7 linked regions of the Macaca fascicularis genome follow. The protein of the gene in region 4 interacts with the protein of the main gene of each other region in a pairwise test. Links are inferred from orthologs where the notes say so. Each region holds a gene or a part of one and is shown on either strand. Other genes may lie near its edges. The genes, in order: TRIP10, WDR91, EZR, HTT, ZMAT2, SP3 and H2AP.

Evidence for each region.
Region 1: the proteins of HTT (region 4) and TRIP10 interact in binary tests that used the Homo sapiens proteins (3 or more experiments, as listed by UniProt). The link is inferred for Macaca fascicularis from reciprocal best matches to the Homo sapiens genes HTT and TRIP10.
Region 2: the proteins of HTT (region 4) and WDR91 interact in binary tests that used the Homo sapiens proteins (3 or more experiments, as listed by UniProt). The link is inferred for Macaca fascicularis from reciprocal best matches to the Homo sapiens genes HTT and WDR91.
Region 3: the proteins of HTT (region 4) and EZR interact in binary tests that used the Homo sapiens proteins (3 or more experiments, as listed by UniProt). The link is inferred for Macaca fascicularis from reciprocal best matches to the Homo sapiens genes HTT and EZR.
Region 5: the proteins of HTT (region 4) and ZMAT2 interact in binary tests that used the Homo sapiens proteins (3 or more experiments, as listed by UniProt). The link is inferred for Macaca fascicularis from reciprocal best matches to the Homo sapiens genes HTT and ZMAT2.
Region 6: the proteins of HTT (region 4) and SP3 interact in binary tests that used the Homo sapiens proteins (3 or more experiments, as listed by UniProt). The link is inferred for Macaca fascicularis from reciprocal best matches to the Homo sapiens genes HTT and SP3.
Region 7: the proteins of HTT (region 4) and H2AP interact in binary tests that used the Homo sapiens proteins (3 or more experiments, as listed by UniProt). The link is inferred for Macaca fascicularis from reciprocal best matches to the Homo sapiens genes HTT and H2AP.

The regions. Positions count from the first base shown.
Region 1 is NC_088393.1:7,506,430-7,510,681, reverse strand, and holds part of TRIP10 (cdc42-interacting protein 4), read right to left. Parts: intron 3,413-4,252; coding exon 3,265-3,412; intron 3,183-3,264; coding exon 3,120-3,182; intron 2,876-3,119; coding exon 2,771-2,875; intron 2,675-2,770; coding exon 2,546-2,674; intron 1,827-2,545; coding exon 1,680-1,826; intron 1,581-1,679; coding exon 1,386-1,580; intron 360-1,385; coding exon 192-359; intron 1-191. UniProt on the Homo sapiens protein: Required for translocation of GLUT4 to the plasma membrane in response to insulin signaling. Required to coordinate membrane tubulation with reorganization of the actin cytoskeleton during endocytosis.
Region 2 is NC_088377.1:176,850,386-176,853,708, forward strand, and holds the end of WDR91 (WD repeat-containing protein 91), read right to left. Parts: intron 2,177-3,323; coding exon 2,012-2,176; 3' UTR 1,096-2,011; downstream 1-1,095.
Region 3 is NC_088378.1:67,154,470-67,159,436, forward strand, and holds the start of EZR (ezrin), read right to left. Parts: upstream 3,316-4,967; 5' UTR 3,268-3,315; intron 2,158-3,267; 5' UTR 2,085-2,157; coding exon 2,073-2,084; intron 1-2,072. UniProt on the Homo sapiens protein: Probably involved in connections of major cytoskeletal structures to the plasma membrane. In epithelial cells, required for the formation of microvilli and membrane ruffles on the apical pole. Along with PLEKHG6, required for normal macropinocytosis.
Region 4 is NC_088379.1:3,425,654-3,429,905, reverse strand, and holds part of HTT (huntingtin), read right to left. Parts: intron 3,560-4,252; coding exon 3,437-3,559; intron 1,068-3,436; coding exon 854-1,067; intron 434-853; coding exon 288-433; intron 1-287.
Region 5 is NC_088380.1:147,181,534-147,184,561, forward strand, and holds the end of ZMAT2 (zinc finger matrin-type protein 2), read left to right. Parts: intron 1-894; coding exon 895-1,038; 3' UTR 1,039-1,952; downstream 1,953-3,028. UniProt on the Homo sapiens protein: Involved in pre-mRNA splicing as a component of the spliceosome.
Region 6 is NC_088386.1:69,488,204-69,493,184, forward strand, and holds the start of SP3 (transcription factor Sp3), read right to left. Parts: upstream 3,159-4,981; 5' UTR 2,957-3,158; coding exon 2,950-2,956; intron 2,336-2,949; coding exon 2,187-2,335; intron 1,672-2,186; coding exon 1,549-1,671; intron 1-1,548. UniProt on the Homo sapiens protein: Transcriptional factor that can act as an activator or repressor depending on isoform and/or post-translational modifications. Binds to GT and GC boxes promoter elements. Competes with SP1 for the GC-box promoters.
Region 7 is NC_088395.1:37,929,800-37,933,663, reverse strand, and holds H2AP (huntingtin-interacting protein M), read right to left. Parts: upstream 2,421-3,864; 5' UTR 1,649-2,420; coding exon 1,295-1,648; 3' UTR 1,033-1,294; downstream 1-1,032.

The sequences.
Region 1 (4,252 bases), on a different chromosome or scaffold from region 4:
TCTGAGATATTTCACTTCCTTCCCCAGCCATGGTTCTTGGCAGCGAGGCCATGCACAAAGCAAAGCGGGTCTGGGTTGGGCAACCAGGGAAGAGGGGCCCAGCCAGCGGCAGGAAGCGAGCCCAGGGTCCCGCCACCCGCCGCTGGGCAGGCTAGGGCCACCACCTTCTCCTGCCCCGAGGCCTCACTTACCCCACGGCTGCCTCGAAGGCTGCGGAAGGATGCTAGCCTCGGTTTGACCGACTTACTGATCTCGCTCAGTATGGCCAAGGGGTCACGGCCGGAGCGGGGGGACGGGGGTCCGTTAGGCAATGCCGAGGGTACGGGACCCCCCAGGGGGGAGAGGGGTGGGGGGCGAGGCTACCGGAGGGGGCCGGGGAGGGGGATAGGTTGAAGGGGTAGGGGGGTGTAGGAGGATGTAGAAAATGAGGACGAATGGACGGAGGAATGGATGCACGGATGGACGGATGGACGCGAAAAGAAAAAAGGAAAAACAAAATGGAGAAAGAAAAAAACGGTAAGAAAACCACAACTCAAGATACACAATCACACAGAGAAAACGCATGCAGGAGCGACACAAAAACATTTGGAAGGTGGCGGGGAGGACGTTGAACTGTAAGCCCAAAAGCCAGAACTCTCACACCCCCGGTATCTCCTAGGTCTCTGGAATGTTATGTCCGGGAGCAAGCATGGGTCCAGGAGGCAGGCAGACCCATGTATCTCTGTCCACTTAGCTTTCTGGGCTGACAGTCTAGAAGACGCATGCAGGAATCGAGGTCTCAGACAGGTGTGAGGCCACGGAGGACACAAAAGATAAACAAAAATAAAACCACAAGCTGAGAGGGAGTGGAAGGCAGGAAAATGAGAGGGGTTAGCGGCGTCAGAGGTTTAAGCTCGGGGATCGCAGGTGGAAGTCAAGGAGAGGTATGAGAGTGTAAGTCAAGAGGGACCCAGAGTATAAATCAAAGGTATAAACCAAGGGTGCTAAGGTATATTAAAATCCAAAAACCCAAGAAACCAGGACGTGCAGGGCAGCTCCCGGAGTCCCATCAGCAGGATGGAGAGAGAAACTCGGGGAGTCCCCAGGGATGGTGTCACCAGCCCTCAGGCCAGCTCTGAATTCCACCAGCAGGTTTTCTCCCAGCATCCCGAGAAGCAGCAGACAAACGCCACAGACCTCCCCACCCTGCCCCCGCCTTCGCCTCGGGGGACTCCCAGGCCAAGCGGCCCGCCCGCCTTCCTTCCCTCCAGCCCGGGCTGGCAGCCAAGAGGAAAATTCCTGCCCGGGACTCGGCGTTCAGGCGGCTGGGGCTGACTCAACAGGGGCCCCACTGTCCCCACCTCACTGTCCTTCTCCCCCACCATCCCAAGGGTCCCGGCCCCCACCTTGTTCTTCTTGCCAAAGGGCCAGCGCTTGGTGCGGATGCGGCCTGGGCCTCGGAGCTCCGGTCGTCCTTCCGAGGGGGTGCCCAGACTGCTGTCCGAGGGTGCACGGTTCATGGGCTGGCTGAAGTCCTCGAATTCCACGTCGCCCGGGCGGGCAAAACCTGACTTGTGCAGCTCTATAAGGACTTGGGAGTCCTGGGGGAGGGGGACAGTGGATGAGTAGTCAAGTGACCAGCGTATGGGGACTTCCCTCCGCCCTTCCCATGGCCCACTGGACCCAGACCAGGCACCCACGTTCTTGGGATCCACAGCATTTGCAGCCACCTTCATGCCCTCCAAGCACTTGGCGATGATGGGCACCACCTCCAGCTCGGCCTCCGACAGGAGCCCATACCCGGCACCCAGGCGGGTGGCCCTGCGTTCATCCATGTCTTGGAGCTTCTGTAGGGACGGGGACAAGGGTGGCTCAGGGGTGCTAACAGAGGGACTAGAAGCACAGTGATTCACTCTGCAAATATGATCGCACTCCACGCTGGCCCCAACCCCAAGCCAGTCTGGAGGGGAAGACAGAGTCAGGAAGAGAAGAGACTCCAGCCCAGTGTGGTTGGGGAGCGACACAGTGCCAGGGGGATCTCAGAGGGGGACGCCTGCCTAGGGGGTCAGCAAAGGCTTCTCAAAGGAGGAGACAAAGGAGCAGGGATTTGAAGAAAAAGCAGAACCAGCCCTGATACTTCCAGGGCCTGGGATGGGACAGAGAATGGAGCACTAGATTGAAACAGGAGAGGGGAAATTCGAGACCTTTCAGAGAGGTTGTTAGAGGTGGAGCTTAAAATAATAAGTAGGAATTTCAAAAGGAAAGAAACCTTGCTTGAGCCCAGGGGTTCCAGGCTGCAGTGAGCTGTGATTGCGCCACTGCACTCCTGCCTGGGTGACAGAGCCAGGCCCCATCTCTCTATAGAAGTAAATAAACAAACAAGTAAAAGGCATGCCCAGCAGGAAGAACAGCTGATTAAAAGCACAGCTCGCTGTTATGATAGGTTTCTGATTCCCTTTCAATCTAGGGACTGGGACATTGCAGCTGGGGTTTTGACGAATGTGCAGGAGTTGGCTAACATTTGGGGGCTTTTGGGAAGGTAGGTCTGAGAACTGGGAGCACTCACATCAAATATCTGGGGCATCTGTGAAAAATAGAAGTGGGCTTGGTCTCGGTTGAAGCGCTGCAGTTGAGCTGCATATTCGTTTTTGCTTTCTTCGGCCATATGACTCCGAAGGTGGGCTTGCTGCTTGGCCTGAGGAATGAGGAGGTGGAAGGTACTACCAGGTTCTGGTCACGTCCCACCCGGACCCCCTAAGCTTGTCCCAGACCCCGCCACCCCCTCACACACCTTCTCCACGTCAGCCTTGGTGGCGTTGATATCCTGGTCTAGCCGTTCAGCAGTCTGGGCTGCCTTCTCTGCCTCCCGGCAGTCCCGCTCAAATTTACGCTTACTCTGTGTAGGGTAGGGGACAGAACCAGAGTGAGGGAGCCACCCTCCCAAAGACAGCAGGGTGGGAAACCAAGGTTTCAGGGATTGTTGGGATGTCAACCAGTAAGTAGGGGACAAGGGCGTACTAGAAGCCTATGGGGCAGGGAAGGACCAGGTCTGACAAAGAGGGCAGGTCCCTGACTCCAGGATCTGCAACCCTGACCCCCGTGCCTCCGGGCCACAGTCACTGCCACCTCTGCAAACTCACATTCTCCAGCTGTTTGAAGCCGTTTTCCAGCTGCTGCTGGGCCCGCCGCCCTTCTTGGAAGTGCTACAGAAAGAAGAGCGATAAGGCTCGCCAGAGTTCCAGCAGGAGCCCTTCCCAAAACCTGAATCGGAGGGGAGTTCCTCACCATCTTCCTCTCCTGTTTCATCTCTTGTGAGTACTTGGTCAGCTCAAGACAGACACGGACACTGAGGTTCTCGGCCACCAACTCCCGCTGGCCTGCAAAGTCATTCACCTCCTGGAGAATCTGTACGAAGGACTGTTGCTGGCTGAATCTGGGGTAGGATGAGAATCGGGGAACAGGGAGTCAGGCCCCCCAAATAGGCTGATGCCCCAGGACGCACCTCCAGGTGGAAAAGGGTTAAGCCCCAAGAATTTAATCCTTGAAGCAATGACAAGTTGTGGTCCATATTCCTTAACCCCAACCTTTGAGTAGAATTTTTTTTTTTTTTTTTTTTTGAGACAGGGTCTTGCTGTCACCCAGGCTGCAGTGCAGTGGCATAATCGTGTCTCACTGCAGCCTCAAACTCCTGGGCTCAAGTGATCCTCCCACCTCAGGCTCCCAAATAGCTGGGACCACAGCCACACGCCACCATACCTGACTAATTTTTTTTTTTTTTTTTTTGAGATGAGGTCTCAAACTCCAATCCCCCCGAACTCCGCCTGTTCCCGCCTCACCCTCCCAAAGTGCTGGGAGTACAGGTGTGAGCCACTGCACTGGACCTCGAATGTATTTTGGAACACAGAATTTTCCAGTTTTTAAAGATGGTATACTGAGGTCAAGAGATCAAGACCATCCTGGCTAACACGGTGAAACCCTGTCTCTACTAAAATTACAAAAAATTAGCCGGGTATGGTGGCATGTGCCTGTAATCCCAGCTACTCAGGAGGCTGAGGCAGGAGAATTGCTTGAACCAGAGAGGAGGAGGTTGCAGCGAGCCAAGATTGTGCCACTGCACTCCAGCCTGGGTGACGGAGCGAGACTCTGTCTCAAAAAATATAAATAAATAAAATAAAGATGGTGTACAAGGCTTACACCACCTTTTATGCATCATTTCAGTGGGGTTGGGGACATCATTTTGTAATCAAACACCGTATCTTCTTTTTTTTTTTTT
Region 2 (3,323 bases), on a different chromosome or scaffold from region 4:
GAGGATTACCAGGGTAGAAATGGGTAAAAATCAGTAAATAACTATTTACTACTGTCTCTGGTGTTTTCTCATAATCAAGCCACTTAAATACCTCCCTACTTTTCCCTCAACTCCCAGAACAGAGCCAAGGCTTTGATAAAAGTTTCTTTGTGCTTTTCCACAAGCAGGTAACTAGGAGTATCCCTACTCCAGACTTGTGCCCCCAGAACTGGGCTGGAGCTCAGAGACTTAAAATGACTAGTGGCAGCCACCTTTCCCAGCTTAGTGATAAGGTCACCCCTGCTAAGCACTGGAGACCAAAGCCCAGGCCCATCACTCCCATAGTGACTCCCCCCATAAGCTCTGCCTCAGCTGTGAAAGGCAAGAGGGAAAAGGGGAGTGAGTCTCTTGTTCCTCCTCACCTCCTGGGAGGATCTGCATTTTCAAGGTCCCACCCCAGCCAGGGAGGAGAGGGCACGCCTCAGGCAGGGTGTGGACACAGCTGGTTGATGCTCAGCTCAGCTACAGATGGGCTCAGCCACAGTTGGGCTGGCCTTAACCCCAGGTGCCCACCAGCAGCAACTTGGCCCCCTTGCTCTGACCTCACCATTCGCCAGCAGAGGGGGGCAGGCAGCCGTCACCTTTCCACAGAGATGTTCAGTTGGAGGAAGGAGAGGAGCCACCAAATGAAAGAGGTATAGGTTGAGCGTCCTTAACCCAAAGATCCAAAATCCAAAATGCTCCATAACCCAAAACTTTTTTTTTTTTTTCAGTTGTGTTCTCCCTCTGTCGCCCAGGATGCAGGTCAATGATGTGATCTTGGCTCACTGTAACTTCCGCCTCCTGGGCTCAAGTGATTCTCCTGCCCCAGCCTCCGGAGTAGCGGGGATTACAGGCACCTGCCACCACGCCTAGCTGATTTTGGTATTTTTAGTAGAGATGGGGTTTCACCATGTTGGCCAGGCTGGTCTCGAACTCCTGACCTTAAGTGATCCACCCACCTTGGCCTCCCAAAGTGCTGGGATTACAGACGTGACCACCGTGCCCCGCTCCAAAACTTTGAGCACCAACATGACACCACAAGTAGAAAATACCATACGTGACCACAATCAATACTTTGTTTTCATGTACAAAATTATTTAAAATGCTGTATAGAGTTATCTTTAGGCTACATGTATAAGGTATATCTAAAACATGAGTGAATTTCATGTTTAGACATGAGACCTACCAAGACACCTCGTTATGTATATATGCAAATATTCCAAAGTCTGAAAAAATCCAAAATCTGTAACACTCCTGTCCCAAGCATTTCAGATAAGGAATGCTTAGCCCATCTTGGGAAACAGCAGCCACTGGATGGAAAGGGGAAGCCAGTGGCAGAGGCCTCAGCCCCTGCCTTCATCCTGAGAATCTTCTGTAACAAAAGCTGCCAGCTTTCAGGGAAGAAAAAGAACTCTGTGGCCTTGACTGAAGCCCAGAGAAACAGGAACTGCCAAACCTTGTTACGCAGCAGAACAGACAGAGAGCTGACCTGGCTCCATGGCAAAGCAACAGGAGAGCCTGGAGAGGTTCAGCTCCGGGCCAGCAGAGCCAGGCTGGGTGGGAGGGCTGTCACTGAAGCAAAGTGACACACATCCTAGAAAGAGACACCAGGGGACCATAAGAGCATTCTCTTTTTTAAAAAAAGAAAAATAAAAATGGGCATATATATACAAAATACTGTCAATTTCTTCTGAGCCAACACAGTAGCCACTGCAATGTTTCTCCTTCTTCCAGAGCTTTCCTCCATAGTCTCACATGTACTTCTGGCACAGCCATGATACCCGTCTCTGGGAAGCATATGCCACCTACTCCACGTGGGTCCCATTCCAGTCACCGAAGATGGCAGTGCCTGACCCTCCTTGCCAGTCTTTCCCTGCAGAGTCACTGCACTGGCAGGGAGATGGAGTGGAGCACCTGGTTTTCCTGTCCTATACCTCCTCCCCCTACCCCGGATAATACTGCTTCATTGGGTGGCCCTTGGGGCAGGTCATCAGGCTTTATGGGCCAGGAGGGTGGTCAGCTTGATCTTCCCATCCATGGAGGCAGTGAGGCAGGTCCCACAGTCCATGGCAGTGCTCCAGTCCACGGTGACCACAGGGGCTCGGTGGCCACCCAGGCTCAAGCAGCTCTCCAGAACCTTCTCATCGCCACCCAGCTGCAAGAGGACAGGAAACAGGAGGAGGTGTCAGCAAACACCACTTACACATACTTGATCCACTTTCAGTGGCCTACCTGAGGATGTGCTTGAGGCCAGGCACACATGCCCACCTTTCTAGAAAGTCTGTTTAACTTCTTCAACCAGGAAATGCTTTCACTTTCCCAACTACAGCTGGTCCATCTGAAGTGGAAAACAAGTCCCTGAGCAGCTCTTTAAAATAAGGCATTTTCTCAGCTGCCTTGAACTTGCTGTGGGCTGGTGCTGCTTGCACGCACACTGGTTGTTCTCACTACAGCATCACTTCTCACTACCTGACATGTGCTCATGAATCTGCTCATTGGTTGAAGGTTCACTCCCATACCGGGGAATGCAAGCTGCAGGGGAGTAGGGCCTCAGGCAGCTCTCTCCTGCGGGGGGCCAGCCTGCCACACCCAGAACAGTGCTGGCGCAGGGGAGCCTTCAGTTGGTGCGGAAACATGGCTCTCTGAACCCCGGCACTAGCTAGCCAGCGATCCTGTGCGATAGGGCACTAACGGGGAAGGAGAAGCTGGGAGCGAACCGAATTCCTATCAGTACCACTATGTATAGCAACTGTGAGCGAGAGACAACGCAGTCTTCAGCCATCGTGGAGAAAACACTTACAAAAACCATAAATTACATTGTTTATAGATTATAAAAGTGGGACCTGAAGTTCAATATATTCCTTAAATAATTAGATCTCATTATTCACATTCAAAGAATTCTACAGAGGAAAATCTTTCCACCAACTAACTGGTCATACAGCAAGTCTGACTGCCAATCATATGAACTGATCAGATCAAATGACAAAGGCTGCATGACTAAAAATAAAACACATACACACATATATCCATACAGAGAGCAAAGTACTGAACAGCCCACCAAAAATGCAACAAAAACAAACCTCTGGAGAATAAAATAAGAGCAGGCTTGTAAACGGAAAGCGTTTTAGTGTCTCCATTGGGAAATATCAGTTATGAGAAATGATGGAGCTAATTTTGAAGGAAAGGGCAAGGGCAACTGACAGAATCAAGCTCCACAGAAAAGAGGAGCCTAACCCACAGCGAGCGCAGGTCCTGCGGTGCACACTTCAGATTACAGTCTACGAGGCTCCCACTTCCCACCT
Region 3 (4,967 bases), on a different chromosome or scaffold from region 4:
ATAACCTTGAAGACATTATGCTACGGGAAATGAGACTACCATAAAAGGACAAATGCTATCACAATTCCACCTATATGAGGTATCTAGAGTTGTGGAATTCACAGAGACAGAAAGTAGAATGGTGGTTGCCAAGGGCTGGTGGTGGGGATGGGGAGGGAGAGTTTAATGGGTAGAGTTTCAATCTGGGAAGATAAAGTTCTGGAGATAGACCTTGGTGATGGCGATGTAACAATGTAAATGTACTTAATACCTTTGAAATGTAAATCTAAAAGTAAGAGGATAAATTGTATATTTTACCAAGATACAAAAAAGAAACCAGAAAAATAAATTACCATTCATTATGAGAAAGAAAAGTAGTGACTAAGAACAGGTTAACTTTTTCCTGAGTGCTATCTTAGCTGAGCTCTGCATCTCTTCTTTTAGTGAAATAAAGAAAACCACACCCAGAAGGGTAATCTTGACCACTCCTCTGCATACCCTTGCACTCAGCTCTGCCTAAGTAAGGGGTTGTACTTAGGTCAGTTTCATACCACATGCACTGTCAAGCCTGGATGTCACGTGTCACTTTTAAGTTTGAATTAAAAAGAAAAATTTTGTATAGAAAATACTCTGCACCGCAAATAAATCTTAATGTAACTTAGGCAAAAATGATATTGGCTTCTGAATCTATTGGCATATTAATATTCTCTAACCTAACAGCAAAATTAATACCTCTAACAAACATCTTCTTAGAGAACATAAAATTTAACAGTAGAAAAAGCACCAAGGCCGGGTGTGGTGGCTCACGCCTGTAATCCTAGCATTTTGGGAGGTCGAGGTGGGCGGATCACCTGAGGTCGGGAGTTTGAGACCAACCTGGCCAACATGGTGAAACACCCTCTCTACAAAAATACACAATTTAGCTGGGCATGGTGGCACATGCCTGTAATCCCAGCTACTCGGGAGGCTGAGGCAGGAGATTCGCCTGAACCCAACAGGCAGAGGTTGCAGTGAGCTGAGATCAGGCCACTGCACTCCAGCCCGGGCGACAGAGGGAGACTCTGCTCCCCACCACCTACCTCCCCCAACAAAAAAAAAAAAAAAAAAAAAAAAAAAAAGGCACACAATCATTGATTACAGAACCAACTTGTTTGAAAAACCAGAAAAAAAATCCGGATGTATCTGTAATCCCAGTTTGTAATGAACCCTGTTATTTTGTCCACTGTGATTCAAAACTCAAAAAATGTTAAACCTTCTCCCGAATAGTCACTAGTTCCCCAGCGTTAAAAGCAGGTAGAATACATACAACTTTCTAAGAAGTGTCAGTCCCAGAGAACCTGCCTTTTGCCTACAACCCCCAGGCCTAGCCAGCAATCTCAACACAATCAGATTCAAGGAGACAGAGGCGCAGGCACAGCCCTTTCATCAGTTGACCAGGAGTGCTCGGCCCAGCGTGCCAAGAGCCGCTCATCAAACTCCGCCGACTGCCTGCATCTACAATTCAAGTCCATGGCTAACCTTCTGTTAAGAGACAGAAATTCTGCTGCAGCCAGTAAGTTTCCTGGTGAACAGGGCACCGCTTCATGGGCCTCGTAGGAAGCGAAGCTGAACGGCAACTTCCGAAAGCCAGTCTCCTCTCCCAAACGCCCTTTAAATCTCCCCAGTTGGATCTTGGGCGCCTGTGGTTTCGGACCCTTAGGAACTCTGAGAGCTGGTGTGTGTGGTCGGAGGCCATTTGAGTCTCCCTGTGATTTGGACTTTTTAAGAAAATTCGAAGTTGCATTACCATACCCTTTAAAAACAGACGGAAGCAGTGTAAAAGGGCCTCTAGTTTTTAGAGAAGATCGTAACTACTGGGGAGGGGGCTCACAAAGAAAAAGACTGCAGAGAAAAGCATCAAAATGGTGTTTTCCTAACGCTCCACAAAAGGGCCAACAAGTAACAAAGAGCGGCGACAACCCCCTATTCCTATCCTCTTCTGCGTGTGAGAAAAGCCTTCTTCCACCAGGAACTGCCCCAACACCTCGTGCAGGTGCCTCCCCTCGCCAATGAAGCCTCCCCCGTCCGCCCGTCCCAGAAACTGGGCAACTTACTGGTTTCGGCATTTTCGGTTCCTGTTGAGTATCCTCGATCCCCGGAAACACGACTCTCCAGCAGCAGCGGAGACGCTGTCCCAACCTGGAGTCAAAGCAGAGCCCTTAGAGCGCCGGTCGGCCCTGCCTCGTCCTCCTGCCGCGCCCGACACTCCGCGCCCGCCGCGCGCCGCCGCTTAAGAACCGGCCAGCCCGGGCCGGGGTGAGTCAGCGCCCCGCCCAGCACTGCGGGCACGGGGAGGGGGCGCGGCCGGGCGGGGCCCCCGGCGAGGAGGGGCCTGAGCGCGGGGGCGCGCGCCCAAGGGGCAGCCGGCGGGCACTCGAGGTGCCCCCAGTTGGGGGGGTCCGGAGAGAGGGGGTGCGCACCCGGGGACCCCCAGCATTAAGGGGCTGGTGGGGGACGCGGGTCCGGGAGATATAGGGCAGGGGGAACGCTCGGCGGAGAGGGTCGGGGGGAGAGGGCACGGGCCCCGGGGAACACTCGGCGGGGAGGGATGGGGGAAAGAGCGCCGACCGGGCGGGAAGGGGTCTGGGGGGCACTCCAGGTGCACCTGGCTGAGAGAAGTGGAGAAGAGAGGGCGCGGGGCCCGGGGTACCCGGCGGGGAAAGGCCCGGGAAGACGGAGCGCGGGCCTGGGGGAGAGAGGGCGAGGGGCAGGGGGAATCACCTAGGAGAAAGGAGTCCCGGGAGCGCCGGCGCGAGCCCTCGGGGCACTCGGCAGGGAGGGGTCAGGGGAGAGGGGGCGCATGGCCGGGGGGCACTCGGCGGGGAGGGGTCCGTGGAGAGAGGGCGCGGGCTCGGGGTCAGCCGAGGAACTTCCCAGGGCTGCCAGGAAGCCCGTGAGGAGCCGAGCACTCGGCAAGTTTCACTTTGTGTAGCAACCGTTGCCCCGCGGCTGCAATCGCAACCGTCACGCCTTTGAGAAACTCTTTCAAAAACTGCAACCGCCCGGGAGCCGCCAAGGGACGGCGCCCAGGCACCCAGGCTCCGCGTTTCCTTCGGGAGAGGGGACCTGGTGCCGAGGGGAAGGTCGCGGGGCCGCTGGCCGGCTCAGCTCCACTGCCCCTCGAGTGCCGGGCAGAGACCCGCGCCGCGCCCCCCAGGCTGCCCGCCGTACCTGCATCCGAGCTCCCGCCGCCCACCCGGTCCCTCCGTCAGGAACCCCCGCCCCGACCCCCGCCGCCGTACGCCTCACCCGACGCCTGCAGTGCTCCGTGTGCTCCCCGCCGCCCTGGCGTCCGCCGAGTGCGCTGGCTGCCCGCGCTCCCAAGAGCCCTGGCGGGGCGGGTCCCGGGGCCACGCCCCTTCCCGCCCAGCTCCCGACCTGTGAGGTGCGCCCCCCGCAAGATGGCGGCGGCCGGGACTCGGGCTCGGAGGCGAATTTGGCGGAAGTACGCGCTACTCCCAGCGCAGATGCAAGTGGGGAGGCTGTTTGTCCCACGGCGGGCAGGGGGAAGTCAGGAAAACGTAAATAAATCTGGAGGGGCGGACGGCCCGGGGGAATTGCTGGGCCGCTTGGGGCTGGGACCGGGGGCCCTTTCCGATACCCCGGCCCTGGGGCGGCTGCACCTGGCCCCAAGTCTCGGTGCACGTGGCCGGCCCAGCCGCTGTCTTCCGAAGCTCTGGTTAAGCGGCACTTTGTGGCCTCTTTTGACGTGACTAGCAAAAAACTCCATGGGATTTCTCTGCAATTCTAGGAATTAAGTTTTTTTGTTTGTTTTTTGCTAATGGTACTCAACAAATTTTTAAGACACACAAAACACGTGCTTTGGGGGCCGGTAGAATTTGTTGCGGGAGACCTCACTCTAGAAGGGGTTCTCAACGTCTGGCTTCCAGACGAGCAGCAACAGCATTCACTGGGAACTTGCAGAAGTGGAAATTAGGTGTTGCTCAGCCTTAGGATTCAGAAACTCTAGGACTGGGCCCAGCAATCAGTGTATTACAAGCCCTTCAGGTGATTGTGATGTTGGCTAAGGGTTGAAACCAGAGAGCTTCTCCAGAATTCATCTCCTGGGTTTACTGCTCCCTTTCTGCTTTTAGTTTTCTCGTCTGTAAAGTGGCATAATTATGGCACCTGTATCAGAGGGTTGTAATGGGGATAATGAGTTAGTACATATAAGATGCCTGGAACAGTACCTGACAGTAAGCACTTAAATCTATCCTGGTAGAGAAACTAGTGACTTTGGGTGAAGTTCCAAACTCTGTATCCCAGTTTGTTGAATGAACATACTAGTAGCCCCTCCTACATACACTTGTAAGGATTAAATGAGATTGTGCATGCAGAGTGCTTAAGTTGTGCTAGCATCATAGTAATTGATGCTTAACCTGCCTTCCTAGTGCCACACTGCTGTTTGGGCAACCCTTGTCAGGGCCTGTAATCTCCCACTTGCAGGTCCAGGGCATTTCAGAGGTCAGAGAGAGGAGGGAGGCCTCTTCTGAGACTTTGACCTCTATTCAGGTAAGTGTATTCCCTCTGAAAGACTGAATTTCTTTCCTTTCCTTTCCTTTTTTTTTTAGACGGAGTTTCACTCTTGTTGCCCAGGCTGGAGTGCAATGGCGCAATCTCGGCTCACTGCAACCTCTGTCTCCCAGGTTCAAGCAATTCTCCTGCCTCAGCCTCTCCAATAGCTGGGATTACAGACACCCGCCACCACGCCCAGCTAATTTTTTGTATTTTTAGTAGAGATGGAGTTTCACCATGTTGGCCAGGCTGGTTTTGAACTCCTGACTTCAGGTGATCCGCTCACCTCGGCCTCCCAAAGTGCTAGGATTACAGGCGTGAGCCACCGCGCCTGGCCTGAATTTCTTTTTTATTAAAATGAAGATATAGGCCAGGCACGGTGGCTCACGCCTGTAATCCCAGAACTTTGGGAGGCTGAGGCAGGTGGAACACCT
Region 4 (4,252 bases):
CCAGATGGTTATTTTTCAAGTCTCTAAAATTACGATCCACATAACACTGGAGGTGCAGATGAGAAGGGGACCTGGCTGACCTCACAGGCCACCGTGAGGAGTGGCGAGGCAAGGGTGAAGGCTGGCTACAATAACTTGACGGTGACAAGACTTACTGCCAGGCTGAGACGGAAGAGTGACTGGATTGGTCAGAGCTCTTGCTTTTCAAATAAAACTGCTTTACCCTCTCCAGTGTCAGCCCCGTGTCCCCTCCCACAGCAACAATGAGCTCCTGAGCTGCCTCTTACCTCAAGGGTTGCCACCACGAATTTCATGGTGTCCTTCTCTTTCTCAGGAGGAAGGTGCAAGTGACTGGGCAGTTTGGAGACCGCCACCAGGTACTGTGCCAGGGCCCGGGCCAGAGTGGTCAGGGACTGATACAGCGCAGCATCCCCTGAAACAGAAGGCCCTCGTGGGTGGGTGCAAACATGAGCACAGATGCAACACCTTCGAAAGGCAGTCAAGCAATTCTTTGAGAATCTGATGAAAGCACAAGACATTGCTCCTCAATGGCACATCTACGCATCCATCCACATGACTGCATGTAGTTTGGGGCTGCATCTCCCCTGAGGTCTGGCCCAGCCTTCCTCAAGGGCTTAGAGCCCTATGTCCGTGACCACGTCAATGAACGGCAAAGTGGCAAACACGCAGGAAGAAATTCTGCGCTGAGGCCACCAGTGCTGCTCTTTAGCTGCCTCTGTAAACGCTTTCGCTGTATTAGATCCACCGCCTTTATTGTATATTGACTTGGTGCAAAGTACTATACTGGCCCTGGAACCTTTCTAAAAATAAGATAAATTTTAATTTTAATTACCAAATAGATCATTCAACTTGCTCCAGTAGGCCGCCGGCTCTGCAGGCAGGTCGGACTGGAAGACGTGGTGGGCAGCAGGGAGCTGCTGCACGGTGCTGCTCACGCGGGCCAGAGTCACCTCACGGGCTGCTTCAAAAAGCGGACTCTTCTGGCCACCAGAAATCTCACTCATCCCTAGGCTTAAGCATGGAGCTAGCAGGCTTAGGTTGAACTCCTGAAATCAGAGCATTAAAGGTTAAACAAACAGTAACAACAGATTAGGAGCTTTCAATCAGGTAAGAAAAACACAACAGAAAAAAGAATAAGGCAAATGTTTCTGAGAAAACACAGATTGGTATACCATCAAAAATGTTTTTAAGAAAATTCTACTCTATGCCTGTTACAAATATTTGAACAACTTCATTCAACGTACGCTTAGTAAAATATATTTCTGTTCTCTCTTGGTACTTTAAGTGATATTTTAATTTTTTATGCTCTTGGATTTGCTTGAAGTAAAAATTTTGGTATGACAATTTTAATTCATAAAAACAGAAAATCAAAGCTAAAGTGTCATCCAAGATCTCGGTGATACACCAACCATCCCTGAAGTTTGAAAAAGATGGTCAAATGCAGCTGAAATAAGTAAAAGTAGCCATATGAATGACAAAATTTTGGTTGGAAAAATGGTATTTCCTATGACAATTTGGATTATGTTTTAGCAACCTTTTTTGTTTAGCCATTTATAAGATTGGGGGCCAATTCTTCAGGTAAAACATCTATCTTAGTTTAATATTCAGAAAAGCATCATGAATGCCAAAAGTTGCAGCTTTCTTTTACAGTCAGAACTTTTACAGCTGTTCAAAGCCCAATTAGCAAATTTGGAAAACCTAATAAACAGATCACTAAGCAAATTTATCACTCAGTAAGTTAGTTTTCACTGCATGAATCTTAAGATAAACAATTTTAGGCCGGGCGCAGTGGCTCAGGCCTGTAATCCCAGCACTTTGGGAGGCTGAGGCAGGGAGATCACCTGAGGTCAGGAGTTTAAGACAAGCCTGGCCAACACGGTGAAACCACGTCTCTACTAAAAATACAAAAATTAGCCGGGCGTGGTGGGTGCATGCCTGTACTCGGGAGGCTGAGGCAGGAGAATTGTTTAAATCCAGGAGGCAGAGGTTGCAGTGAGCCAAGATCTACCATCGCACTCCAGCCTGGGGGACAAGAGCGAGACTTCGTCTCAAAAAAAAAAAAGGATAAACAATTTTAGTAAATGGATTTTGGGTGAATTCTCCTGTTCTTTTCAGTCTAGCTCTTCAGTACATCAGAACACACTGTTGTGTTGCCCTCCCTGTAAGGTCTCTTTTCATGAACACCTGCCTCCACCCCCAGCCTCTACATGCATTTGTCCTCCCGGGTGCCCACTTCCCTCCCATCTGCTGCGTATCAACGCAGGGCTAAAGCACCAGGAGGTTTCTCCCGTCCTAGTAGGTCTGAGAGGAAGCCCTGCTCAGGCCATGGCTGTACCACACCAAAGAGGTGGCCCCCCGACTGCTCACAGGATCTGCCCACAGGTGAAGGACAGGGACACCAAGGCTTTGCACGGTCTCCTGGGATAGCTCTGCGCAGGCTGCCCTCTGACATCTGGGGTTGGGGGGTGAAGAACCTCACTACATCTAACAGAGGTGTGGGTAGAGGAAATCTCACTGCATTCAAGGGTCTCTTTTGCGACTAAAGATCAACCTCCAGAACACCAGAAACAAGTTACTACGACACTGTGTCAAAGTCTACGGCAAATATGCAACCCTGACTTCCATTCTGTCTTGGCCATGGAGCTTAGATGATGACATCCCGTGTTTGTTCCTCCCGTGGAGGTCAGATAGTTCTCATGCCAAACCACACACCCAGCCTTGGGGCCAGCTGGATTTCAAAACAATACCTCCTCATGAGAGAGGGCTCCCATCAACTTGCTTCAAATTTCACAGCTGCCTGCTTCCAACTTCACTGCCATCCAGTTTCTACCCTGCTTCCTGCCGCTCAGGTCCCCCACCCTAGATGCCAATAAAAGTGCCCAGGACCACACTTCATTCCCTCACATGCCCCCAACTTCCATGTGTGAGGGGCCTCTGGGCATGCCATGTACCCGCCAGGACCTGTAAGTAGTAAAATCTTCATTTCCATCTCGAGTCTCTCCTAATCCCTGAGGGAGTGCTCTCCATCTTCTCAAAGATCCTGAATTAAGACAGACACCAATCCAATACCCTTCCTCACTGCCATGAGAACAAACCAGTGAAATGACTGTAATCTAAGACCACCTCCATTTTCTTTAAATGCATGAAAGGTTGAGTGAAATCGACTTGCCTCCTTGGATTCTAATGTGGCTGAAACAATCTCGATCAGCATATCCCCCATGTCCCGGCCCCCTGAAATGGAGTCCTCCCCACTTCCCAGCCCCATTCAGAGTGGAGTCTCTCCGTCATCCCGTCCCCATCCAGAGTGGAGTCTCCAACATGTGTTGTCAACAAGTGGGTCACATGAGGAGACAAATCCCACTTGGAAGTCACAAGAAAAGCTGAGGATTCCTTGCTTCCGCTGCTCCCCCCGTACCGAGTTCATCATGAAGGCACTCATATCTTCAGCAGGAATCCGATTCACCAGCTCTGCACCTTCCAGCAGCGCAGAATCTGACCTGGTCCAACACTGGGATTTGACAAGATGAATGTACCAGTCCTGGGAAGAAAAAGATGAATAAGGGGAACATGATGGGTGGCGTTCAAGGGCACTTCACATCCCTGGAGCTACAGGCCTAGGCCAGTGCTTGGGAACACTGCACTAGGCTAACTGAGAGGGCCGCCGGCCGGCATGTTGTGGCTATACAGCTCACCACACCACAGGTCTTCCCCTTTGGACTTCTGTTACCTACCTGGGTACTCTCACGGCCTCCCCCTTCACCTGGTGAACTTCTAATAGTCCTTCCAAATATAGCTAAACTACTAAGGGTTAGCGGCCCCTTTGCCATCCTCTCCTGGGCTGTCTGCTTTGCTCATCTCTTCCCAGCAACCAGGGCAGGGCAGGGCAGATGCTTAGCAAATAGAGCCTAAGGCGGCAGGACTGAACCTTCGCTTTCTTATACTTGGGCTGCTGGTTTTTGAAATCTAAATTCATATTCATAAGCTGAACTCTCTCCAGGAAAGTAGAGTACCAAGGCTCTACCAAGGCCCCAAGTGGTCCCTAACGGTGAGGTATGAGCAGTGGAGGTGCTGACAACATACCAGTATGGCTGGCAGTGGCGGTGCAACTCACAGGTGGCCAGAAGGTATGAGGCGATGGAGGGAGGCTAAATGCACTGACATGTGCTTGAAGGCCTGTGCAGTCAGGGGCCTGCAGGCCACAATTGACTTTCCCTTGAGTCACCCACTAACG
Region 5 (3,028 bases), on a different chromosome or scaffold from region 4:
TTTAGAGCAGTTTGGGTTTGCAACAAAATCGAGAGGGAGGTATAAAGATTTCCCATATACCCACTGTCCCCCACAACATGCATAGCTTCCTCCATACTTTTTTTTTTTAACTACAAGAGGAATTAACTAAATGTACCTAGTCCTAAGGAGGCCCATGAAATCAGGCTGACTGGGTCAGAATTCTGTTTCTTCCACTTACTGGCTGTGAATCTTGGGCAAGTTATATAACCTCTTTGTGCCTCAGTATCCCCATATTAGAGATCTTAGTATAATATGCATGAAGTACTCAGAGCAATTTCTGGCATGTACTGCATGCCCCAGAATGTCAGTTGCTATTATATGGTTTTGCTGTCATAACCCTGTCAGGAACTAGAAATGACATGGGGCCAGACGCAGTGGCTCACGCGTGTAATCCCAACACTTTGGGAGGCCAAGGTGGATGGATCACTTGAGACCAGGAGTTCAAGACCAGCCCCAGCAACATGGTGGGACCCTGTCTCTACAAATACAAAAATTAGCTGGGTGCAGTGGCACACGCCTATAGTCCCAGCTACTTGGGAGGCTGAGGTGGGAGGATTGCTTGAACCCAGGAGGTGGAGGTTGCGATGAGCCGAGATTGTGCCACTGCACTCCAGCCTAGGCGACAGAACAAGACTCTCTCAAAAAAAAAAAAAAAAATGAACTAGAGTGCAGGCTTGAGAACTTCTCTCTAGAGGCTAAAACTTCTTTTTGTTATCCTTTATAATTTTTACTCTGGCTTTTACTCTGTCCTTGAGATTTTACTTGTCTTAAGTACTTTCTCCTAAAGATAGAAAGGAGTCTTGAAACTCATGTCTTTTTCAGTAACATTTGGCTGAGGAGTCTAAACTGATTCTGAGTGATTTTTCCCTCCAGGAAGAAAAGGCCAAAGCATACAAGAAAGAGAAACAGAAGGAGAAGAAAAGGAGGGCTGAGGAGGACTTGACATTTGAGGAGGACGATGAGATGGCAGCTGTGATGGGCTTCTCTGGCTTTGGTTCCACCAAGAAGAGTTACTGAGGCTTTCTATGCTTGGCCTAACTTGGGCCTATGCTGGACCTAACTTTGTGTGTGTGTGTGTGTGTAGTCGGGGGTCATTTCTTTTTGGGTGATGGGAAAGTTCTTAAGAGTGTCAATGGGGAGGGATAGAGGGTGGGGCTCATGGTTTCCCTCTACTTTGGGAGAGGGCACAGATTGCAGAGGTAATGCTGTGGCATATTGCTTCAGCCTCAGTATATCGCTGGAGTCATAGGACCCCTGCCCACCTGAGTTTCCAATAAAGAAAAACCTCCCCTTCTGAGGCTGCTTTCCCAAAACTCCCCCTGCATCTTTATCTCTCCATCTATCCAGCCTCTTGTCTGAGCATCCCAACTTTATCCTGTGTTATGCCTTTGTTTTAATTTTATCTCATGTTCAGCCTGCAACAGAAGCATTCTCTAGGTCCCAGTTTCCAGTTGATTGCATATCCTTGACCAGCCCTTTTTCCCATCCCGCCCTATGGTTCTCTAGCTACCTGTGCATGCATGTGTATTTCTGCCTGGTTCTATGGTGTGTGGATGTGTGTGCATGAATCTGTCACATAGAGGGGGCCTGAGCTGGAATCCTAGAGCATTGCTGCCCTGGGGCCTGATGTTCTTGGCTTCCTCAGAGCATGTAACAGGAAATTAAATGGGATGAGTGTTTGGTGTGGTTTGTGTCTGATGAGTTTTTTAACATTCAGGTGTAGATTGTTTCAGGTTCTCTTGTTTCATTTTCCTGAGGATTTCTGTTTTTGTCTTCCTTGTGAGCAGGCTTTTGGAAGAACCTGTTTGATGCAAAGAAGAAAATGAAAAACAAAACAAAACAAAAAATCCCCAAAACCTTATTATGGGAGCCCTTGGGTCTTAGAAGCTGTTCAACATGTATAATAAATGGCATTGACTGGGCCTGTTTTACATTTGGTGGGAACATTCCATAATTTTGCCTGTGAATATTTGTTTTTCCTTCTCATGCTGAGGATTTCCATAGAGTGTTTTATTCTTCCATTTTAAATCTTATTTTTGCCTAGGATTTTTTTTTTTTTTTTTTTTTTTAGCATGAGTTATGTTTTCCTCTGGTAAGGGATCTGTGTCCAGAGGAGCCTGAACCAAAACTATTCCTATCATTTCAGACTCCTTTGATCTTTTGTTTTTGGAACAGTAGAGCTCAGGATTGAACTTAGTGTTTTTCTTTTTCTTTTTCTTTTTTTTTTTTTTTTTTGAGAGAGTCTTGCTCTATCGCCCAGTCTGGAGTGCAGTGGCGCGGTCTTGGCTCACTGCAACCTCCGCCTCTTGGCTTCAAGCGGCTAATTTTGTATTTTTAGTTGAGATGGGGTTTCACCATGTTGGCTAGGCTGGTCTAGAACTCCTTGCTCAGGTGATCCACCTGCCTCAGCCTCCCAAAGTGCTGGGATTATAGGCGTGAGCCATTGCACCCTGCCCTTAGTGTGTTTCTTACTGTCTGCTAGACACAGGATTACTTAATCTTGGCACTGTTGATATTTTGGGCCAGATTATCATTTGTTGTAGAAACCAATGCTGTGCAGTGTAGGGTGTTTATGATTTTGATTTTGATTTAGGATTAACTTCATCCGTGGCCTTTACCTGCTAGATGCCAGTAGCACCCTCTTCCACAATTGTGACAACTAAAAATGTCTATGCCCCTGAGAAAGGCAAAATCCCTCCCTACCCACATTGAAATCCACTGAGAAGCAGCTAGCTGTTTTCCCTACCTTGGTCTAATTTGAGAATTAGATGGCACAGACTGGTAAACTCAGTACAGAAACTCACAAAACTTTGATATCCACTGGATCAAGTACTGTACCAAGTCCAGGGGATGCAGAGGAAAAAAAATAGTCATACATACACGGAGAATTATTAACTTTAACACATTAACTTCAAGCAGATGAAACCTGTAACTCTTGCTGGTTCTATACCCTGAAAAAATGGATCCGTTGGGTTAACAAGGCTGCCACCATATAGCTGGTATTCAT
Region 6 (4,981 bases), on a different chromosome or scaffold from region 4:
CACCCATAGTTCCTTACTTCTCCCCTCCCCCATCTGTAAACTGATACCTAAACTTTACAAATTACAGCTACAAGAAAATTTTGTTCCATTTGAAATACAAAAAAGATCAGTAGAAGCAATCTGCTTTTCAATTTTACTTATGCAGTTTAAGATAGTCAATTTCTTTTGGCACTTAGGAACTAGAGGGATACAGTTCATAAAAAAGGTCTACCAACCCTTAGTGAAGCTGAAATGAGGTGAAATAAAGGCCTACCAATCCATAAATGTATTTAAAAATAACAATGCCTAATACAATTTTACATTTTTACATCTTAATCTGCTTATAAAAAAGACATTAAAACTATTCACATCCCCTATAACGAAACACTAAAATTACAAATCTATTTACCAATAATAGCTTAACATTGGTTTAACTTAAAAAAAAAAATCTGGACGTACTAACCATTTGCTGTAGACTATACCAAATACCAAACTTCTCTTTCTTCAGTGACTATTCAAAATATCACTCCACAAATCAATTCCTATGATCTACCCCCCCCCCACACACACACACGAGAGGGTTTTCATTATTTTAACAGGTGAACAAATCTACACAATACAACAGTGATGATCCAAATGTAAAATTCACAATTAACAGTCTAAAAACTATTCCTACCCTATTTGTATTAACCCCTCACATAACACAGGCGAGCTCCTCCCCTTGCCCCGGACACTGTGAAAACACTACAGAAAGAATCCCACCACATCTTACCTGACTAGCAGTCGTAATAAAACAAAAATATACTTTTGCCAATCATATTCAACTGTAAGTATTGCAGTATTAGCATGCATGTAAATACAATTTCTTACATATACTTTTCTAACACTGATAGTCATATTCAATTTCAAAAGATAAAGTACTATCTAAGCAACTTGCCAATTTCAAAGGCTGCTAAATGTTTCACTTACGCCCCTTACAAAAAAAACTCACTGCAAATTTAAGTAGTCTGCAAAAACTAAAAATCAACGATTTTGAATGGTCACTAAAAAAGCAAAAAGTGTTCACTCCTGCATACAAAAGGATAATTCAAATAATAAACCCCCATTTTTTAAAAATAATGTATGATTTAAAACAGTAAGATCCTGTAACTTCCAACAGAAAATGCTCCAGTTTCAAAAATACTAAAAACTAAAGACACTCCTTCTAGTTGATACTATCTATGGCCGATAGGCTGTGCTTGAAAATTTTGTAGTGTTCAGCGAAGGAGTTTTCAGCACTGATAGGAATTGCTCAAACATCCATTTTGGAGTCCTCTACCCCCGCCCTCTCAGACTTCATTTTGTGAAGAATTTTGCGCGAGGTGCCGCAGTGACAATTTCGAGAAAGCCTGGGCTGGCTTCAGATCCAAACAGGGATGCGAAAGAGCAGGAAAGGGCGCCCTGGAGCCCAGCGGCCCGTGCGGCTCGGGAGAAGCGCGGGCGCCGGGGAGGCCTTTTGGGCGGGCGCGCTACGGGCCCCGGATGGCGGGCGCCGGGCCTCAGCGGGGGCGGGCCGCGCGCGGGACTTACCGCTCCGGCGGCGGCGGGGGCCCCGGCTGCGGCGGCCGCCTCCTCCTCGTCGTCGCCCGGCGATGGCGGCCCTATCTTGCTGCAGGTAGCGGCCAGCAGAGCGAGCGGTGACGGCTGAGTGTCCTACCCCCAATGGGCGGGTTCAGAGAGGGAGACAGGGGGAGGGGGTGGCGGTTAGGGCCGGGCGGCCGCTCGCACAGGAAGTGCGACTCGATCCCCGCCGACTGCGCCCGGGCGAGCGCCAACCCGCACTCTCCTCCTCCTCCTGGTCCCGCCGCCGGCCCCCGCCTGGCGTCCCCCGCTCCACGAACCCCGGCTCCCCGGTCTGCGGGCAGGCGGGCGGCGGGCTAGCGCGCCGGGCCTCCGCCTTCCGCCCGGAACCCACCCCCGAGAGGGCACGCTGGGGCCCACACTCACACGCGCACAAAAAGGCGGCAGGCGGGCGGGGCGGGGCGTCGCGGGCGGGGTCGGAGCGTTGGCGCCTCGGGCGGGCAGCTCCCGAGGCGGGGGGAGGGGAGGGGAGGGGAGGGGAGGGGAGAGGCGAGGAGGGAGGGGTGAGGCGAGGAGGGAGGGGAGAGGCGAGGGGAGGAGAAAGCGGCGCAAGGGGGGAGCCGGGCCGGGGCTCAGCCGCTCCTCACCTGGGCCGCCGCCGCCGCCGCCACCGCGCCGTTTCCGTGCTGTTGCTGCTGCTGCAGATACTCGCCGTGGCCGCCGCCACCACCACCGCCGCCGCCGCTGTCCACGTCCAAGGCAGCCATTTCCTCTTGTTTCACGGGCTTTTCGGGAGCTGCAGGCACAGCGCGGGGGGGTGGGGGTGGGGAGGAAGGCGGGTGGCGGAGAGGGAGGGGGCCCGCGGGCCGAGGCGAAATTACTCCCAAAGCCCGGACCCAGGCCCCTTCCCCTCCCCCACCCGCCCCCCGGCGGCGGCGGCGGCGGCGGCGGCTCCCTCCTCCCCTCCTGCTGCTGCCCCCGCCCGCCGCTGCCTGTAACCCTCCTCCTCCTCCTCTTTCCCTCCTCCTCCTCCTCCCCGCGCTGCCCCTGCCCCCTCTCCTCTCCTCCCCTTTCCCTTCGCGCCGCTCGCTCTCACTCGCGCTCGCTCCTCTCGCACCGTCAGTCACTCACACACGCCCGCCCGCGCCCGCACACAGGGGGATGCGCTCCCGGCGGACCGGGCCGCCCGCCCCGGGGCCTGGCGGGGAGACGGCGTTGCTGGGGCTTCGGGGGTGGACGGTGGCTGGCGGGGAGGGGAGGGAGGCGCAGGGGAGTGCAGCTTTCTGCCTCTCACAGACACTCGGTCGCACACACGGGGCCAGGACCGGCGGCAGCGGCCCCGGGCTGGCTGTGGTCGGCGGCAGCGGCGGCGGCGGCAGCAGCAAGGGTTGCTCTCTCGGCTTTACGTACCGGTCATAGTGTGTTTAGGGCACCTCAGGCGGGGCTCCCCGCCGCCTTACACATGGTGAGGAGCGAAGGCGGCGGCGGCGGGAGAGGATGCGGGAAGCGGCGGCGGACACGGCCGGAGCGGTCCGGGGATTTTTTTTTCCTATTTTGATTGACTGTGCGGGAAACACAAAAGGTGGAGCCTCCAGCCCAAAAGGGGGGAAGAGGGTGACAGCCTGCCCGGAACTCCCGCCCCTCTTCTTGGCCCTCATTCGCCGCCGTGTTCTCCGTCGGATGTGCTCATTGGTCCAGGCGCCCGTCCGTCGCTGTGCCAGGCGGCGCGCTTCCTGTTTGCCCCCCGGGTGGAAGGGGCGAGACAATGAGCGGCCGTGGCAGCGTAGGTTTCCGAGAGCGGCTACGGCTCGCCGGTTACCCCGCTGTGTCCGCCTCTCTCGCCGGCTGCCGCTGCCAGGCCCGAGGCGCAGGCCTCCTCCACCTCGCAGGCGCTCGGAGCAGGCCTAGCCAAGCTGTAGGGGAGCTGAGCTGGGGAGGAAATTCGTCCCCGGTGACTCCGGCTCCACTGGAGGCTACCTCCATCCCGGCAGCAGCCTCGGCCGGATTTCCCCAGGGCCTCGCGCTCTTGGAGCCGCCGCTTGCCTGCGCTGCCAGGAGGGCACCGCCGCTCAGCCCCGGGGCTGCTGCTGCGGCCGCTGCCGCTACTGAGCAAACCAGACCCGCCCCACGAGCCCGGGGGGAGGGAGCTGGTATTAGGGGAGACACCCCCTCCGAGGCTGGAGGAGGATTTTTCTCACACACATCCAGCTTTCTGATTCACAGACAGCCATCTCGCTCCCAGCCCCCTTAGCCCCAGCTTTCCAACCGGTCTCCCACTTTCACGTACCGTGAAGGCAGGCATTTAAAGCAAAAAAATTTCAAGTCACCTCACATACGGAAGGAGAGTTTTAATTTTGGCCAGTGGCACCAAAACGGGCACTTAAAAGTATATTTCATTTTACCTGTGGTATGTGTATGTATCCAATGGGGCAGAATACTGTTTTTTTAAAAAGTCAGTCACATAATCATTTTGCTGCACAAACGTATTATCCCCAGCCTCTTAATCCTCTTGGTACCAAGTCAGATATCTCCTGAAACAAGCCCATCAACCATTGCCAACGTTTTTAAAGTCGTGAACTGGTGAAGTACCTTTTTTCCCCCATTGGAACATTTTTGTTGTATTTTAAAATCTTGTTTCACTCATTGGATTAGGTTAAAACTCCTTCCTTCTTTGGCAACCTTGATATCTTGCTGTCATCCTGGGGGAAAATGCTGAGGTTTTATGTCTGTGTTTTGCCAACTAAGAGATATCTCTCCCTGTTACCTTCAAGTATAGTTGCCAACAAAGAAGTTAAATTCAAGAGGTGGAAACACTGTCCACAATACCTCTTTTTTAGAAATCTGGCTCAAGAATCAGTTTTCCCATTACTGTGATGATTGTATTTTGTGTGATATGTGATGATGTGCTGGTGGATGAGGTTGTGAAGCACTTCAACTAGATTTTGTGTGTACTAACTTAATAGGTAATCCATTTGTGAGATAGCGAGTTTGCATCCCAGTTCCAAAGCAGTTAACCGCCTATGCTCACAGGATCAGAAACATTGTATGGTTACTTTGCTCTTAATTGTACAAAGATCGAATTTCTAGGGAATTGACCTAAAAACCACAAACATGCGGAAACGAGACTCAAAATTCTGAGTCCAAGAATAAGGTTCATCTCTCCTAATAGTAAGACCTTGTAGTCTCATTTAATTGGAAAAATAACTTCAAAGTTGAATGGTATAACCTGTGTACTATTTTACAACAAAAACTTTTAAGGAAATAAAAGTCACAAAATAACCTGATTTGGGGTGGGGGGAAGGGAAAAAGAGATGGGTGCCCTGAAGAGCAGGACAGGTGAAAAGTGAAAAGTAGACTGGGAGAGAGGAAGGGAAGTCACTATTATCACTCTGTTCCTACCTGGATCTGTTGGGTGGAAGGTAGCTCTTTCCCTAGAAAGGAT
Region 7 (3,864 bases), on a different chromosome or scaffold from region 4:
GAGACCTGCTCAGAGGTAGTAATTGAAGGTCTAATATCACATGTCCAGGAAGTGGTGAACTGGGATCTGAAACCCAGGCCCTCAGCTCCCACTGTTGGAGCTGCCTGTGCAGCCTCTGACCAATCCTCTGTGAAAGGCCAGCAGGCAGCAGACTGTGGCACCCAAGGACCCAAGGAACAGGTGGAAACCTAAAATGCGGGCATTCACAGGCAAGGGGACAGATTGCTACAACGTTTGATGTGACACCTCTTTTAAACTTAGCACAGAGCAGGAAGTTTTGAAAAGGATTGCACATGCTTTAGAGGCCGTCACTTGGGACAGAACTATTTCTATACCTCTTAAAACATGTATTGAGTCACTAATAATTCTTTGGTGCTCTATGCAATATATAGTAATTATAATGAATAGGTATTTAATTTAAAAATGAAATTGTTAATTGTGTTTTAAATGAAATACATATATAATTAAGCTGATTCATTAATAATTAACAACCATTAAGAACTTCTTGAATTGCCCATCTTAGGCCAGATCATAAATTTTATGTATTATTATGATTTATTTTACCAGTGTCCTGAAGAGAGGACAGAAAGATATATTCACAGCACTAGCTACTAATCCCTGTCTCAAATCCTCTTTCATAATAAGTCAGGGCATAAAGAAATAAGAAATGAAATCCAGCAGGCCATCATTTCTTTTTTGCATTTTTCATCATGGTTTCTCCTTCACTCTCAATCTCCATGTAAAGTCCCTATCCCATGAACTTCATGCCAGCCAGTGTGCCCCCTCTCCACCCGCCCCTGTGGCCACCACCCTCTGCCTCCTGCACTTCAGTCAGAGTCTGCAGCTCCACCCCAGGCCCCAGCATCAGGCTGGGAATTCAGCAAGCCTCAGAGGCCCCCAGCCAACTCCCCGGCCTCACAAGGCCTTCCTGTTCAGAGGCAATTAGGAAGTCTCGGTGTCTTTATCCCAGCCAGTTCCTCCCCACAGGGCCCGTGCCCTCTCTGTCACCGTTGGAAACTGCCCCCTCTAAATCACTGATTCAAACACTCCACACTGGCCACCACTTCCCGCCCCCCCCCCCCAACTTCAGCTCTCTGGGGATAGCTTCTCCTTGATGTCTCACAGACACCTACAACCCAAAAAGACGGAAACTGGAAGGAGTCAGAAACATACTCATGGATTTACATCCTTTAGTAGCACTTGTTGATGACAACAGCAGATATTCCTCAGCTGTGACACATTTTTGCCCTGGCTAAGCCTGTGAGGATCCCCTCAAGGCTCTGGGACCCAGTCTTCAGTCATTCTTTCCGGATTTGGGCATCTCATCAAACACAAAGCGGGTTCCATCACTCTCAGTGCGGTGGGGCTCATGGTGGTTGTCCACTTCTCTCTCCCCATCTTGTGAAGTGTTGCGCATCCTGCCATTGTTGATGGCCTCCAAGCCTACCTGCTCCATGATGTAGTCAGCAAGGCAATCGAGCAGGGTAAGGAGGATATTTATTGTGGAGGAACTCTGGCTTTGGGCATCTTGTTCATCTTGCACAACTCGGTCCACGAAGCTCATAGGGACCCGCAGCTCATTTCTAGACCGGTCTTGAATCTGGTTGTTATTTGCAGAGGAGTTCTTACGGTTATTTTTCTCTGACATGATATTTGCTGGGTTTGGCTCTGATCAGCTCTGCTTGATTCTCCAGCTCAAGTAAGTCTCTGAGGACGCTGGTGCTGCCTATTGGATCCCTCTGCTCCAGGCCCTGATTGGTCAGGGAGCTAGCTGCCTTTGTGACATCCCTAGGCTTTGTGATTTCACTGGTGTCCACTGGTCCCTGATCAGACCTCAGCTTAGAAATGTCTGTGACACTGATCTAGTCACCCTAATGACTGAACCCTGATTTTGAGGGAACTATAACTCTTTACCTGATTTTGACATTATAAAAATAAAAGTGTGTTTCAATGGAAAACTTTGCTCTATCTTTAGGACACCACTGCAGGTTATCTGATTCTAGCCTTACATTATCTGTGAAGTCTTTTATAGCCTTTTGTTAGTTGTAGGTGGCTGATACATGTACAGTATATTCTTTAGTAGAGGTTCAGTTGTCTTCACCTTATGAAACCAGTTTTGCCTCCATGTGCACAATCATTTAATATTACTGATGAATATTCCCATATCGACTCTTTGGTTTCCCTTTTGAAGCAGTCATAACATCTTTTTCTTTTAGCATGTGTTCATTTCGTATCTGTATGAGTGTCATGATTTTACCCTATTTGAAAAATGCATTTTATTTATTTTTTTATTTTTATTTTTTATTATTATACTTTAAGTTCTAGGGTACATGTGCACAATGTGCAGGTTTGTTACATATGTATACATGTGCCATGTTGGTGTGCTGCACCCATTAACTCGTCATTTACATTAGGTATATCTCCTAATGCTATCCCTCCCCCCTCCCCCCTCCCCACAACAGACCCCAGTGTGTGATGTTCCCCTTCCTGTGTCCAAGTGATCTCATTCTTCAATTCCCACCTATGAGTGAGAACATGCAGTGTTTGGTTTTCTGTTCTTGCGATAGTTTGCTGAGAATGATGGTTTCCAGCTGCATCCATGTGCCTACAAAGGACACGAACTCATCCTTTTTTATGGCTTCATAGTATTCCATGGTGTATATGTGCCACATTTTCTTAATCCAGTCTGTCACTGATGGACATTTGGGTTGATTCCAAGTCTTTGCTATTGTGAATAGTGCTGCAATAAACATACATGTGTATGTGTCTTTATAGCAGCATGATTTATAATCCTTTGGGTATATCCCCAGTAATGGGATGGCTGAGTCAAATGGTATTTCTAGTTCTAGATCCTTGAGGAATTGCCATACTGTTTTCCACAATGGTTGAAAAATATATTTTAATCATTTTTCAATTAATAATAAGATGCTCAATAAGTTTACCTGTCAGTGTCAGGTAAACAGTTGATAGAGAAGTGCATCTTGTGCTCAGTTTAAGCCCAGATGTATATTTCTTGTCTCTCCTAGGTGAAGCAAAAGCACTAACAGATGTTTCTTTTCTATTATTTAATTTTCCTTTCTAGTAATTCTGTGTTTTCCCTTTGACTTTGGTTCATTTACAGCCAATAACTTTGCCATTCCATAGGGGAAAAAGTAGAAAGAACAAAAGAGTCTTAAATCCAAACAATTTCAAAATCCAACCATTAGGTTTCAAGGCCTGGGAATATTCTATGACTTAAGACTCCTCCCTTTGATCACTCTGATCCTATGACTTCACCTGGGGTAATAAATCTGCCCTCTGGCCTCTAGGTTCTGCCCTCAGTCATTGTTCCTTTATTTTGAATGGTAGCATATGTTTACAGCTGAGTAGTTTTATCAGCCTGCTTTCTCCTGTCAAATTTTGGGAGTCCTATGGCCTTCTTTCATTTCTTCCTCTATTTGTCCCTTTCCGTCTAAGCTGGCATTGTTTCTGCTGATATAACATTCTCAAAAACTTATAGGTCTTTTATGTATGTCATGGGGATTCATGTGATTAGACAAGAGGTTTCTTCAAGATCCTTCATAGACAATCCCTTGCTTATTCTGAGAAGCACACCCCATATCTCTTCAAAACACCATCTGTGTGATTGAATATTTTGATCTTTTGATCCCTTAAAGGCACTAGCAAAAGGATGTCTAGCTATGCCCTTGATTTTATCTCTGGAGGATGATTTCGTGGCAACGAATTTCCTAATTTTGGTGTCTTTTTGCAATCTGGATAGGCTGAAAATTTCTCATATCATTGAATCCTGCTTTCTTTTTGCTTAACAGTTCTTCCCTCAATTTATGTCTTTCCTCTAGCATTTTACTATAAGCAGAAATAAAA